Saccharomyces cerevisiae S288C: one gene and its partners. Changing the gene in region 1 together with any one later gene gives a genetic interaction. Each region holds a gene or a part of one and is shown on either strand. Other genes may lie near its edges.

Evidence for each region.
Region 2: mutations in COS1 (region 1) and IRC4 together harm fitness less than expected from each alone (positive genetic interaction), as found in Saccharomyces cerevisiae (one large-scale study listed by BioGRID).
Region 3: mutations in COS1 (region 1) and YSY6 together harm fitness more than expected from each alone (negative genetic interaction), as found in Saccharomyces cerevisiae (one large-scale study listed by BioGRID).
Region 4: mutations in COS1 (region 1) and DTR1 together harm fitness more than expected from each alone (negative genetic interaction), as found in Saccharomyces cerevisiae (one large-scale study listed by BioGRID).

What each region holds. Positions count from the first base shown.
Region 1 is NC_001146.8:5,947-10,306, forward strand, and holds COS1 (Cos1p), read left to right. Parts: upstream 1-2,383; coding exon 2,384-3,529; downstream 3,530-4,360. Other genes in the region: YRF1-6 (Y' element ATP-dependent helicase protein 1 copy 6), read right to left, coding at 134-152.
Region 2 is NC_001136.10:1,515,870-1,519,446, forward strand, and holds IRC4 (Irc4p), read right to left. Parts: upstream 1,807-3,577; coding exon 1,267-1,806; downstream 1-1,266.
Region 3 is NC_001134.8:563,170-566,244, reverse strand, and holds YSY6 (Ysy6p), read right to left. Parts: upstream 1,015-3,075; coding exon 817-1,014; downstream 1-816. Other genes in the region: EXO5 (Exo5p), read right to left, coding at 1-522; TOS1 (Tos1p), read left to right, coding at 1,675-3,042. UniProt on the Saccharomyces cerevisiae protein: Interacts with target proteins during their translocation into the lumen of the endoplasmic reticulum. Protects unfolded target proteins against degradation during ER stress. May facilitate glycosylation of target proteins after termination of ER stress.
Region 4 is NC_001134.8:587,713-592,429, reverse strand, and holds DTR1 (Dtr1p), read right to left. Parts: upstream 2,690-4,717; coding exon 971-2,689; downstream 1-970. Other genes in the region: 40S ribosomal protein eS6 RPS6B, read left to right, coding at 14-718; FZO1 (mitofusin), read left to right, coding at 3,316-4,717. UniProt on the Saccharomyces cerevisiae protein: Prospore-specific dityrosine transporter responsible for translocation of dityrosine through the prospore membrane and required for the formation of the outermost layer of the spore.

The DNA of each region.
Region 1 (4,360 bases):
TAAATTCAGTTAGTAAGAAATCTCACTAAGATAAGCGACTGTCTGTCCCCTTCAAGCACAACATAGAAAGCAGAAGGATGTCTCATTCATCGCTTGATTTCCGGCCTGCAAAAATAAAGTAGTCGGTACGTACGTTCGTTTTCAATTTCCATGGTGCACAGTATCTTAACTATCTGCTTAGTCGAGGAGAACCAGGATTCTGTTCGTTGCTCAGCCGCTTCGTGGATATTCTCTTGGATACTTTAAATATGGACCTACGCTTAGCCTGCGCTTAGCCTACAACTTCTTCCGCTCTCGAAAAGACCAATATAATAGAAAGTTATAAATTACATTTCCTTATTAGGTATACGACCTCGCGCTTCGAAGTAGAGGAGCCCTTTTTGGCGTACCTACATATGGCGCGTCAGACAGACAAACTTCCCCCAAAAATGTATTACCCCGCCGAATAAGAAAACAGACCCATTCACCCACGACGTATCAAGTTACTTCCTTGGTGCAATGTCCCACTATAAAAAAATTCCTTGACGCTAGATCGTTGGACTAAAATCTGCGTCACAATCGCCTAAACAGGAAATATTGCCTATTTTCGTACAAGGTTACTTCCTAGATGCTATATGTCCCTACGGCCTTGTCTAACACCATCCAGCATGCAATACAGTGACATATATATACCCACACCCACACCCACACACCACACCCACACACCCACACCACACCCACACCCACACACCCACACCCACACCCATCACAACCCTAACCCTACCCTATTCTAACCCTGATGAACGTGTCTCTCAACTTACCCTCCATTACCCTACCTCCCCACTCGTTACCCTGCCCCACTCAACCATACCACTCCCAACCACCATCCATCACTCTACTTACTACTACCATCCACCGCCCATCATAACCGTTACCCTCCAATTACCCAAATCCAACTCTACTACCATTACCCTACCATCGACCATCTGCTACTCACTATACTGTTGTTCTACCCTCCATATTGAAACGTTAACAAATAATCGTAAATAATACACATATACTTACCCTACCACTCTAATCCCACTACCACATGCCATACTCACCTTCACTTGTATTCTGATCGGTCATACGTACACGGATGCTACAGTATATACCATCTCAACTTACCCTGCCATAACATTCCACTCCACTCCATGGCCCATCTCTCACTAAATCAGTACCAAATGCACCCACATCATTATGCACGGCACTTGCCTCAGCGGTCTATACCCTGTGCCATTTACCCATAACTCCCACGATTATCCACATTTTAATATCTATATCTCATTCGGCGGCCCCAAATATTGTATAACTGCTCTTAATACATACGTTACACCACTTTTACACCGTATACTAACCACTCAATTTATATACACTTATGCCAATATTACAAAAAAATCACCACTAAAATCACCTAAACATAAAAATATTCTATTCTTCAACCATAATACATAAACACACTCAATTGCGTATCAATACCACCATGACGTCATTAACTTAAATGTTCCTTAATACGTCATACCACTATGCTCTATTCCATATATTGTAATATAACTGTACTCTATAGTCATACAGACGCTTTTACTTCACCCCATCTTCTCATACTATTGTCATAGAATCTCACACTGACGCATGATTAAAACGAATAATTTTTACTGTAAGGGCTGCCATCCGCGCTCTATCCTTTTGTTTGCAATATTTATATACAGAATCTCAAAACAAGCGGGAGAAGTGCTAATTACCCAGAGGTCATGCATAATCTGAGTACCACCGTACCTCTAGGTTTTGCTTTGATCCGTTTTACAGTGACACCGAACATAAGGGGAAGCTATTGACATGGTATCGAAAGGTTGTCCACATTGGGAAGTAACTTGGTTCTATGAATCTTCATGTCAGATACGTAGGACAGACTCTTCCTGTGTAAATATTTGTGACAGCTACGTCTATTTTCTACTAGATGTTTACACAGTTTTGTCACAGGAAATCTACGCTTAAAATATGTATTTCATTCAAGCGGTAACCGCTGTACGAGCAGTGACATTGCTGGTCGCACCTTAAATGTAAACCAACGTTACGGCACACCGTGATGTACCCGCATTAAAGTTTTGTAAATTCGTTATTACGATTATCGAGTTGGCTAGATAGAAAACCGGAAATGAAATGGATGCCCTTTTCGAATAGCTGAGTTTCTTTGCCTAAAATAGCCCAATATTGTTTCCCTTTTTCTATCACGAGGTTACTGAGCCATTGCATGAACGCGCGCGCCTCGGCGGCTTTTTTTTTCTGCTGTGCTGTATAAAAGCGAAAAGCCAGAAGTTACTATCTCGAATAAAAAACCCCTCGAACTGCCATCTCACTACCGAAAATGAAAGAGAATGAACTTAAAAATGAGAAGAGTGTAGATGTATTATCCTTCAAACAGCTCGAATCCCAAAAGATTGTTCTACCTCAAGATCTTTTCAGAAGCAGCTTTACCTGGTTTTGTTATGAAATTTACAAGTCCTTAGCGTTTCGCATCTGGATGCTATTATGGCTACCACTTAGCGTCTGGTGGAAACTTTCCAACAATTGTATTTACCCACTTATAGTTTCACTTCTGGTCCTGTTTCTGGGACCAATATTTGTCCTTGTTATTTGTGGACTTTCTCGTAAGCGTTCCTTATCGAAACAACTCATTCAGTTTTGCAAAGAGGTTACTGAAAACACACCAAGTTCTGATCCTCATGATTGGGAAGTTGTTGCAGCAAATCTAAATTCGTACTTATATGAAAATAAGGCTTGGAATACTAAGTACTTTTTCTTCAATGCCATGGTCTGTCAAGAAGCGTTCAGAACAACCCTTCTCGAACCATTTTCTTTGAAAAAAGACGAAGCTGCCAAGGTTAAGTCATTTAAGGATTCCGTCCCTTACATTGAAGAAGCATTGGGAGTTTATTTTAGAGAAGTTGAAAAACAATGGAAGTTGTTTAATTCTGAGAAATCATGGAGCCCTGTTGGCCTGGAAGATGCTAAACTTCCCAAAGAAGCTTACCGATTTAAGCTTACTTGGTTTTTAAAGAGGATTTCCAATATTTTTATGTTGATACCATTCCTTAATTTTTTGTGCTGCATATATGTGTCACGGGGAATGTGCCTTCTATTACGCACCTTTTATCTCGGGTGGATTCTTTTCATGTTGGTACAAGGTTTCCAAAACATGAGGATGATCGTTTTATCCGTGAAAATGGAACACAAGATGCAGTTCTTGTCGACTATTATAAATGAGCAAGAAAGTGGTGCGAATGGATGGGACGAAATTGCAAAAAAAATGAATAGGTACTTGTTTGAGAAAAAAGTCTGGAAGAATGAAGAGTTTTTCTTTGACGGGATTGACTGTGAATGGTTTTTTAGCCACTTCTTCTACCGCGTTCTCTCTGCAAAGAAATCTATGCGGGCTCTATCATTGAATGTGGAACTATGGCCATATATTAAAGAAGCGCAATTATCCTGCAGTGAGGAGTCCTTAGCGTAAAGATAAATACAACTTTTTCAATTTATATATTTTGTAGTTTGTCAGCTGCGAATAACCAAAACGAGACTACTTTTTACCATTACAACCATTTTCTTTTTCCCTATTTCTCACTGGTTGACAGAAATCAGTGTGCTATCATCCTACCATATGCGCTAAACTTATTGTCTTTCTCCTCCTAGAGATGCTGTATTCCATGCATATTCTGAACGATGGGTTGGTGTTTTTATCAAGCAAGGTTAATCACATGGCGTGGCTTGCTCCACACATCAGTAGAAAACGCATACCGCAGCGGAATCCTTAAATAATAAGTGATTTTACTGTTCATCAACTACAATCGGACTCTTTCACAATTACCCTTCTTGTTTTCCACATTTACTGTTAAATGAAGGGATGTACAGAAGGCTTAGGAAAACCTGTGCTGAATACTGGATGGACACTGCATTCCCACAGTGAAACTTTTATAGATACACTGTCAGTTATTTTCGAACTTTCATCAAGTTGCTGAGTTTTAGTATCCCTTTGCCTTAGCTATATGTTTGAATGAGCAAAATATTTGCAATGTCTCTAGCTTTCTTGAAATATTGGTTTATATTGAGGGCTTGGTAAGATTTCAAATTTCACTTTGAAATACTCAGGAGAAAAATCATGCTCTTTTGATAATTTGGTGACTAAACATACATAAAACAGTTTAATTTTGGGTGGTAATGGCTGTGTGACTAGCTATAGAAAGAAAAAAATTAAAAAAAAAAAAAAAAATCAAGTAGTTCCTGCACTGCGACGTCCATTATAGCATTATGAATTGGTCCCTGATTTACGCATGCGATAAACTAT
Region 2 (3,577 bases), on another chromosome or scaffold:
TTATAGATAGCATAAGCACAATGACTTAAAGGTTATAATACTCATTGATATCACTCTGATTATAAAATCGTAATATGCGAATAGGTGAACTAATCGGAATAACCCATACGACACTTCAAGCTTCAATTCTATTTCAACTGTAGTGCCTGCTAGTGAAGAATACAAAAGTAGCATACGTGATGTGCAAAAAATGCGCTACTTATCACACAAGTACCTTGCGCAAGAAGGGTACTCTAAACCGGGGCCATCGCATTACCAGACGGAGATGTATTCTTTATGAAGCAATAATTGGAGGTGTATCAAGTTCGAAACTGCTGATGCTATGGATTTACATCTTTCTTATGCACAAGGCTTGCTTGTGTTTCTGAGTAGTTAGTTTTTAGATTTTTGTCAAGTCTGGGGTAAGTTAATTCGAGCAAAATTAACGGCACGTTATTCTAATGCATATGTTGTTCATATATTCTTTTACAAAGAGGTTTGGAATGATGTCACCGATGTTAGAATGTTAGGAGAATTTCATGTGAATTTTAGTCCAAGTGTTGAAGTTCTCTTCTGCAGTTAGGGCACGTACATGGCAACGATATCGTTTTTGATGTATTAATCTTAGTAGGCGTTGAGTTTGTATGTTACTTTTCTCAGGTGATGAAGCGTGATGACGATGACAAAAATGGGTTATAATAGGGCGCACTATCATCATGCGTGATTGATATTTAACCAATGTCTTGAGTACATCAACTCCAGAAAATGGGTCATTATATGCCTAGCATGTATTATTTGAGACATAAAGTTTTATCTCGAGACCTTGACGTATAGGAAAGATCTTAATCAAGTGACATTACTTTAAAATTTAAAGTATGTGCCATGTATACCATATACGATAGCAGAATGTGACACAAGCTATACCATACGTCTCTGATCGACATTCATGTATGGTATCGTCTATATCTTTGTTGCTTTAAAGGTTAGCGTATAGTAAGGTAAATTAACTATATGATCAATACTGTGTGTGTAGAGTACAATAAAATATATGGGAAGAACATAAAAAGTTCGTATTGTGACATGTTATTGAGGCTATGGTAAGCGTAAGAGAGTTTTGTCTTTATACTGCTGTACATTATATGAGGTTTTGTTAAATTGACTCATAATAATCGAGATTCATTTCTCAAATATAATAATATCAAAAAATATGATATTAAAAAAGGTTTTCCTGTGGTAGTTTCTAAATCCTGCAAGAAAAAAAATAGACGGCCATATACAACTTTCTCATTATATCTTCCTCCTTTTTATGCGTTGTTCTTCAGGCACTAGTCTCTTCCATTTTCTAATTTTTCCTCTAAAGTTTGTGAAAGGAGCAACCGTGTTGATATGGATCCATTTATACACAGGCCACATAGCTTTAGTTGTAGCCCATTTTCTATTTCCCGCTTGAAAGAGCTCATCATCAGATAAAGTAGATATCCATTTATAGACCTCGTTTACGGCCTCTCTCAGCTTGGCTCTTTGCTCCTTAATGGAGTAGATTCCGTATTTTTTATAAAATGACTGGTATAATCCTCCTAAATTGTTCCATTTATAACCAGGCGCAGGAGTTTCCACATTATACCCAGCAATTTCCTTTGCTTCCCACTCTAATAATAAATTAACCCAGCCCAATTGATAAGAGAGGTTTTCAGAGGGTGTTCTATCCACTGTTTCAACTTTTTCGTCTTTTTGAGATTCAGAGATTGTTTCAAATTCTGCATCATATTTTTCATATTTTTTTTCAATCTCTTCCTTTAGTTCTTTTTTACTGGTATATTCTCTCATGATAGTTTTTTTTTTTTCAATTGTTATTATTTAATTCGTTTAATTACCAATCTATAGCGATGTAAGTCTCACTATTAGCCGCTATTAGATTTTTTTCCATTTGCCAATATTGATTTTTAATCGCATTCATTATTTGATCAAATTTATATTAGTATGTACACACTCAAATAAAAGAAAATAGGGAAAAAAAATTTGCCTGCTTCAATTAGGCTTTTGGTACCTGATATCCGCTCGAGATTAAGTGCGGCCCTCTCCACCCGATAAGGAACAAAGGGCATGCTTCCTTTTTTAGCTTTACGCACTATTGTCAAATTGTTTATATAAACAGGCTGATATAGAATTCATCCTGAAAACAATGGTAAAGTTTTTCTTATTGCACTTCGCTATCCTAAATTCAGGGTTGAGATTTCTTTCTCTTTATGAATTAATGTACGATACGCTTCAGCCTTTCGGCAGTGCATACATATCCTAGCGCGCTGATAGTTGGCCACGTCACTTTCTTGCGCTCCGTAGCATCATTGTTCTTTGACGTAAGAACGCAAACTCTGGCATTATGGAATGCATACCGGTATCTGATAATAAAAATCTTGGATACTTTCCTACAGGCCATCCGGAATCATGTCAGCACAAGAAACAACCATATTCCACTACTGAGGTTCTTATGATAGTACCATATACTTACAGCGTTAGACGATAACAACAAATATAATATTAATTGAGCAAAGTTCTTTACTGTCATTCAAATCGGTGAGTAAGAGTAAAAATTGACAATGAAATAACATCTATGAATGAAATCAAGGGAAGTTTCTGAAGTAAAAATTGACCATTATTCACTACTAGTAGTCGCGTTATTAAGATAATATACTGAATGGAGTTAAAGATGAGATAAATGATGAGAAACAGTCTGCGAGTATAATGGAACATGAAGCGCAAGGGCTGATTTTGTAATAAGATAATGAATGAAAACGTGTAAAACAGATAAAGAAATAAAACAGATTAATGTGTAGAATTATCGATTCCCTTTTATGGATCTCTATGTCCCCGAGGAGCACTTCTAGTGTATTCTGTATAAGTAATAATATTATCTCAAGCAATAATGAATTCCCAATAATTATCTCAAAATCCACTCACTCATAATAATTATATATGACGCATTTAATTTCAGCTCTATGTGCATAACATTAAAATGGAAGATCAAAAATTACACTCTTCACACATAAGTGCAAAATATAGAATCATTTAAGCAATATTGCATCCTGCATATGATTCTGCGTTTTTTTTTTTTTCATTTTGAGCAGAGGAGATTGAGCAAGGATTTACGCTTGCACAAAGTATCCTTGACTTGAAAAGGAAGTTAAAATCGCATGAGAAATGCAATAACTTTATCGGTACGCCATATAACATATGAACATTTTTTAGTAATATTATAGAAGAGGTGATTGAAACGAGATAGTACGCGTAGCAAAACAATGGTAACTAGTGAGATACATTACCAAATTATCCCTGTACTCTTGTGATTTCGCATCAATTTTTCCATATGTTGAATTACAGAATTCCAAAGGCAGGATCTCTGATCTACTGTTTTCTATAATTTCTTTGATTCCATCTGATATTACGCCTAAAAAGTATAAGTCTTTCAACGACTTATACTTCATAATTACATAATACGGTTACACATATAGGTATCTTAAATTGATCACAAGAGTGATCCAAGTAAGTGTGGAGTACCTTTATCACCATTCACTGAATATTAGTATATTTAGATGCACGA
Region 3 (3,075 bases), on another chromosome or scaffold:
TGATTTATGAATCTTTTTACCTTTCTGCACCTGAAATTTTAAGTTCAGTAGTTGGTTAGACAAATTTTGAGAATAAAAGTCGTAAAAATTCCTTAACTCGCACCAATTCTGCGTAGTGCATAATTGTGTGACGGATAATCGTTTTTTCTTTAGCTGATTTACTTGAATGTCAAAATAGGGATTCTCTAAACCTCTGGGGAATCTGTAATTGATAAACGAAGGATTTTCAGGGTCTTCTCCAAATAATTCTTTAACGCTGGCCAATTTTTCGCTCAACAATGCTCCTTCCTTAGTATTTGTCTCTTTTGTCGGACTGGTGTTATCGAAAAATGGCAAATTATTGATTCTATCGATATCCGAGGCATTCAGGATACCGCTTGGATCATTAGTTGGAACATCATACATATGATTTTTCTTCGAAGGTAGTATAAATGTTCCATCAAGGGACTTATCGTTTAAATGTACAAATCTCCTAGGATGAATTAAAAATCCATACTTGTTGATTAGTGCCCGGCCCAGCATACGATAAGTACAGAAGAAAAGCAGAAAGCCTACTTGAAAAATTAAGAAAACAAAGACAGTCTACAAAGCTTTTCTGTGTACTATGCCTGGGTCCCCCCTCATACTCATCTTTGTTGCACGTTTGATTGGCATGGTAAATCACAATAGCACTTGAATTACTTCATCTTTTTTCGCATCCATAAATGACAACGCGGGTAATACTGCCTTATGCTTGTTGTTATTATTATTCGAAATCGCTTATTTATTTACGTACTTGCTTCCACTGTACACTTATATATGCAATTTGCCACTGCTTCATAGGATATAGCTGATTAGTTGCAAAACACCACCACCTACGAGAAGAAACAGAAGAATACCCAACCAAGTTTTGGATATCACAGGTGCGGTTTTCTCAGTTTTGCCCTCCTTCTTCTTACCGTATTTTCTATACTTTTCGTTATTCTTGTTAAACTTGGCATTAGCCAGTCTTTGTCTTGGTGTCTGTACGGCCATCGCAGGTGTTGTCCTCTATCTACTTCGACCTCTGCACCCTGCTATTTCTGCATGTAATGCTGTGCTGAAATTATATTTGATATAACGCAAGTAAGCGCAGATGGCGACAAGAAAAAAAGCCACGTCAAGTCATTAGACACGATATCACATACCACGAGATCTGCGCCTCGCTTTTTCTTTTCTTTTCGCGTTGGCGACTTTCCTTTTTCGTTGGCGATTTAGTGCTGGTTTTGTTTATTTTTCCACGCTTTTTCGTCGTACAGCAAACGTGAAAATTCGAAACTTGGGATTTTCATTTAAATATACCACGAATGCAGATGTGATTCATCACAAACGTTCCTGTCTTGGCAATATAGAAAATTTTCTTGCTTAGCCTTGTTTCACTTCCATTATTTTCAGATTTGTTTTAATTTTATTTTCGCATCTCTACTTTTTATATCTCTCGAACTTTGCTAGTTAAACTTCTTATCTCCATTCAATTTTTTTTTATATTATAATTATTTCTTTTCTCGCAAGAAGACTCCAGAATCAAAACTCAAACCAACCTAACTTATCCAACTTCTAGTCACTCCTTCAATAGAACGTCTTTTTCTCACCTTTTCGTTTTTCCATTTACACCCCATAAAATATCTAAAACCTAACGGAATTTGAACGAAAAAAATGTTACAAAAGCTTTCCATGACCGCATTAGTCGGTTTGTTTTCTTCAGTTGTGTCACTCGTGAACGCTGATTGTACTTACTCTGGCGGTAATTACTATTGTGCTCAAACCGATGCCATCATTTACTCTAACGTCGGTTTATCTGCTACCTACCAAGATGTCACCAATATGGATGAATCTTCTTGTGCTTGTACCCAAGCTGATTTCACTGCTTCTGGTAGCTTGGCTCCCTTCAACGAGGAACTATCTGTTCATTTCAGGGGTCCGATCGAGTTACTACAATTTGGTGTTTACTACCCAAATGGTGAATCTAATGCTTTGAAGAAAAGATCAGAGAAACAATCAATCGAGTCCTGTAAGGAAGGTGAAGCTGTTGTCTCCAGACATAAGCATCAGCACAAGAGGGATGTTGCTGTTGAATATGTTCAAGTTACTTCCACTGTTTACGTCGACAGTAATGGTCAAACAGTCACAGCCGATTCCACCAATACCGTTGTCGGTCCTGCTGTTCCTTCTTCTTACACTAAAGACTCTACTGTTTTGTCCAGCAGTGCTCAAGCAGTTGAAACGAGTGAAAGCCAGTCTTCCATCTCTTCCTCTAAAACCACCTCTTCTGCTGCTGCTGCTTCATCATCTTCGTCATCATCTTCTAACACTAACGGTGACTGGTCCAGAGGTTCCTACTTTGTCCCAGGCTCTACTAGCAACTGTACATTCATGAACAACCAAGGGGGGACTGCCGGTTCTGGTGTCTGGTCGAGTTGTTTCGGTAACTCCATCTCTTTTGCTGCTTCAGATGGTGTTTCTGGTGCTGCCTCCGCTCAAGCTCTTGGTGATGTCACCATTAAATCTGGTAATGAATTCATGATTTTCTCCGGTGAAGAATGTTCCGGTAATAACGGCGATTGTGGTTATTACAGAGAAGGCATTCCTGCTTATCATGGGTTTGGTGGGGCTGATAAAATTTTCGTCTTCGAATTTTCTATGCCAAGTGACACCAGCGGTTCTGCCTACAATCAAGATATGCCAGCTATTTGGTTATTAAATGCAAAAATCCCAAGAACCTTGCAATATGGTGATGCATCTTGTTCTTGTTGGAAAACTGGCTGTGGTGAAATGGATTTGTTCGAAATTTTGACCGCTGGTTCTGATAAATTAATCTCACACATCCATGACGGCCAAGATGGTGGTACTCAAGATTACTTCGAGAGACCAACTGATGGTACTTTAAAGGCTGCCGTAATCTTTAATTCAAGTGATAAAACTATTCACATTATCGAAGTCGACGAAAGCTTTGATGCTACTTTAAGCGATGATGTCGTTGACCAATGGTTGAGCAAGTCCGGTTCTTCTGCGGCCTTGCCATAGTCGATCGTTTCTTATTAACCAATAAAATTTTCC
Region 4 (4,717 bases), on another chromosome or scaffold:
TTATTTATAACAGTTGAACATTTCTTACCCAGTCAACGGGTCTCAAAAGACCTTCGAAATTGATGATGAACACCGTATTCGTGTTTTCTTCGACAAGAGAATCGGTCAAGAAGTCGATGGTGAAGCCGTTGGTGATGAATTCAAGGGCTACGTCTTCAAGATCTCTGGTGGTAACGACAAACAAGGTTTCCCAATGAAGCAAGGTGTTTTGTTGCCAACTAGAATCAAGTTGTTGTTGACCAAGAACGTTTCTTGTTACAGACCAAGACGTGATGGTGAAAGAAAGAGAAAGTCCGTCAGAGGTGCCATTGTTGGTCCAGATTTGGCTGTCTTGGCTTTGGTCATTGTCAAGAAGGGTGAACAAGAATTGGAAGGTCTAACTGACACTACTGTTCCAAAGAGATTGGGTCCAAAGAGAGCTAACAACATCAGAAAGTTCTTCGGTTTGTCCAAGGAAGATGACGTTCGTGATTTCGTCATCAGAAGAGAAGTCACCAAGGGTGAAAAGACTTACACCAAGGCTCCAAAGATCCAAAGATTGGTTACTCCTCAAAGATTGCAAAGAAAGAGACACCAAAGAGCTTTGAAGGTCAGAAACGCTCAAGCTCAAAGAGAAGCTGCTGCCGAATACGCTCAATTGTTGGCTAAGAGATTGTCTGAAAGAAAGGCTGAAAAGGCCGAAATCAGAAAGAGAAGAGCTTCTTCTTTGAAGGCTTAAGTATGTCTTGGACCTGCATAATTTTTATACTTTTTCCTTTTAGATATATGTACTTTTGGCTTAATTTAATATAATTAACTATAACTTCGATTTTATTCTTTGAAGGTCCAAATGCACGTAATTCATAAACTTATGATGCATTGTTCTATTTCTTGAAGTCCTTGGGATGAGTGATGAGAAAATTTTCTTGAAAGTTAAATAATATAATAAAATTCTAAAAGTTAAATTTTATAGCTAAACATAAACTATTTCTTAAAATTCTTTGGCAGTATATTTTCTTTGAAAAATGAGAAGATATAATATACCAATCAATGAAATTGAACTGCAGAGACCGAGCCCTGTAAAACACCATCCAATTCCCATTGCGTTACAGAGCTGTAAAATGATAGCGGAACTAATGGCAGCGCCCACATTTCGAAAGAAACTACTAACAGCAACAGTTCCAGCAGCTCTTTTGGGGAATAACTCAGTTAAATATGTCATTGATGTGTTGCTGCACCAGGTCATACCAAAGGCAGTGAGAGCGGAAAAAACTAAAAGAACCACAAAATGATAATGAAAGAAGATTGCCCATCCGTATCCTATTGTGCCACATATTGTTAGTAAAATTCCAATTAGGTTCAGTAATAAACGAAACTCTGCCGGGAATTTCTTTTTAGGATGACTTTTGATCCAGCGTGAACGAAGATAATCTGAGAGGTGCCCACCAGATTGAGATCCTAGTAACATAGCTACACCTGGGCAGACATAAGCAGCACCAATTTCTAACATAGTAAAACGGTAGTCATGTTCAAGGTAATACGAAAACGTGACGCTGAACGCATAGTAACTGGAGAACAGGAGTGCAGTACTGACGGACGTGATTATTATTGGAGGACATTTAATCATTTTCCAATATAGTGTCAAACCTGCTTTAGGCGGCTTTGGAAAATTTTCTTGGAAGAAAGCATCATTATTGACTGGTTTACGGATACCAATGTCTGGGAACAGACGCCGATGTGATATTTTATTACCTTCGAAGAATGGAGATTCGTTATTTTCACGTTCATCTTTTTTGTCACCCCATTTAGGGTCTCCATTACCAACTATACAACGTAGCGTTTCTGGAAGTAAAGCAGTAACCAAGATCAATGCTATTCCTGTCATGATAGAAGTGAAACCAAAAAGCCATCTCCAGTAATTTCCTTTCATTAAAATAAGCCCAGCAACAATGGGTGCTATAATAGGACCCATGTTTGGACCCATCATGAAATACGCTATGGCCTTTCCCCTGTGTTTTGGAGGAACAACGTCTGTTACAGTGCCAGCTCCCAGAGAAATCACAGAGCTGGAAGCGAAAGCTTGGAAAATTCTTAAAACAAAAAGGGCAGCAATATTGACTGGTACAGCGGCCAAAAGTATATTAACAATTAACATTAGTGATAACGACACCATATATAAGAATTTCCTTCCACCAAAATCCGCCAGTGCGCCCCAAAACAATGGACCAACGGAAAAAACAGCCATAAATACAGAAACTGTAGCGTTTATTGTTGTTGCACTTACATCATATTCCCTTTGCAGCAATGGTAAAGCCGGTATATATATGTTTCCAGACATTGGGCCCAAAAATCCTATAAAAATGATAATTCCAAAAATGATTAGTCTTTGATCCTTGGAAAAATAAGTATATGGAATATGTGCTTGAGTATCAGGAGAAGGGTCTCTTGACTGGGAGTTCGATGACTTTACAGCAACTTCCTCTTCTTTTGTTTTTGCTTTCTGTGCTGACAATGATGGGGAAGAGTCAGGGTGCTCATGAAAGACATCATGATCTATATTGGCTCTCTTTTGGTTCACCTGATCCCAGCTTTCATTAATTACATCATCTCCTAGATCTTCTAGCGAATGAAATGTTGAGCGGGTTGTTCCACTTTCTTGCGAATTAATTTGCAGACCCAAATTCTTTTTCTGAAACGGTTCGCTTCCCATTGCCTTAATTCTTTTCCCAGCTCTTGAAACTCTTTTTTGAAAAATTACCAACAACAACTTTTCTTACTACCATCCTTCTAGCCTTATCAATATTCTCATATATCTTAAAATTGCAATTGTTGTTACAAAGGAGTTTGTGTCGTTTTTCACCAGGTGACAGAATGTCTGGGTTGAAAGTATCAATGAAAAAAAAAAATGTAGAGAGATGCCAAAACAGTGGCCAACAGGCAGCTTTGGCTACGGAAATGATTTGGAAACCTGCATAAGTATTTCTCCGCGAAATTGGGAAGAGTGATATGGATAGTTGTGATCCACGGTATATAATTCCTTGTGATCCCTTATCTGGCAAGATAGCTATAGTATTACTAATACGTGGCGCTAGTATAATAACTCGCGCAAAGACCGAACGGAGATTAATATTTAAAAGTTGGTGCGCAGTCCGGGTAAATACAGCTTTTCATGCTGAAGAATATGGCCGGGCTAATATTAATTAAGACGGACGATGCATTATTGAAACAGGATAACGCAGGTTACAGTAGCCCTTAATAAATAAAGCAAAGTACATCCGAACATAGCAACATTATCTGATATCACGGATAGAGGCAAAACGGTAGGCTCATTTAACGATGTCTGAAGGAAAACAACAATTCAAAGACAGCAATAAACCGCACAAGGACTCCACAGATCAGGACGATGATGCCGCCACAATAGTACCACAAACTCTTACTTACTCACGCAACGAAGGTCATTTTTTAGGCAGTAATTTCCATGGAGTAACTGATGACCGTACCACTTTGTTTGATGGTGAAGAGGGGCGTAGGGAGGATGATTTGTTGCCCTCATTGCGTTCCTCCAACTCAAAAGCACACTTAATTTCTTCACAACTTAGCCAGTGGAATTATAACAACAATAGAGTACTTTTAAAAAGATCTATATTAAAGACACAAGCTTTTATGGATCAACTTCAAGAAGAAAATAATATTCGCCCGATTTTTATTGCTGCAAATGATGAACGGGAAAAATTACATGTTCTACAACTGAATATCAAGCTAGATGGTCAGTACAATACCAAAGAAAAGAACGGTTTCAACATTGAGAAAAAAGCTTTATCAAAATTATTTCACTCTCAGATCGTATCAGTGACAAATCATTTAAACGCTTTGAAAAAAAGAGTGGATGACGTTTCATCTAAAGTATTCATCACAGGTGATGTAAATACTGGTAAATCAGCTCTTTGCAACTCTCTATTAAAGCAGCGTTTGCTACCTGAGGATCAGCTACCATGTACCAATGTATTTTCCGAAATACTAGAGGCTCGGGAAAATGACGGCATAGAGGAGGTTCATGCCATACCACTAAACATTGCTCCGACTCTCAAGGAAGCCATTGATATGTATTCAATACAAAATCCCAAGACTTATGAAATACACACTTTGAAAGAACTTCCCGATTTGGTTCCCCAAAACGGAAAATATGCTTTACTGAAGATTTACATAAAGGACGATAAAAGGCCTGCCTCTACTAGTCTATTAAGGAATGGTACTGTTGATATTTCATTAATTGACTCCCCTGGGTTGAACATGGACTCGTTACAAACCGCCGAAGTAATGTCCCGACAAGAAGAAATCGACTTAGTTATATTTGTTGTCAATGCAGAGAACCAGCTAACACTATCTGCCAAGGAGTTTATTTCTTTAGCATCTCGTGAGAAAAAATTAATGTTTTTTGTTGTGAAAAAATTTGACAAAATCAGGGACAAACAACGTTGTAAGGAGTTGATCCTAAAGCAAATCCGTGACCTGTCCCCAGAAACATATAAACGTGCAGCTGATTTTGTCCACTTTGTTTCCAAAAACGGAGATGAATTGCCACATTATCATAATGAAAATGACAATGAAGATCATGGTGACCGAAAACCTGACGACGACCCATATTCTAGCAGCGATCCCGATCCGGATTTTGACAGTCTGGAAGATTCTCTACGCAATTTTGTTTTGAAGAAAAGATCACTTTCTAAATTGTTACCTG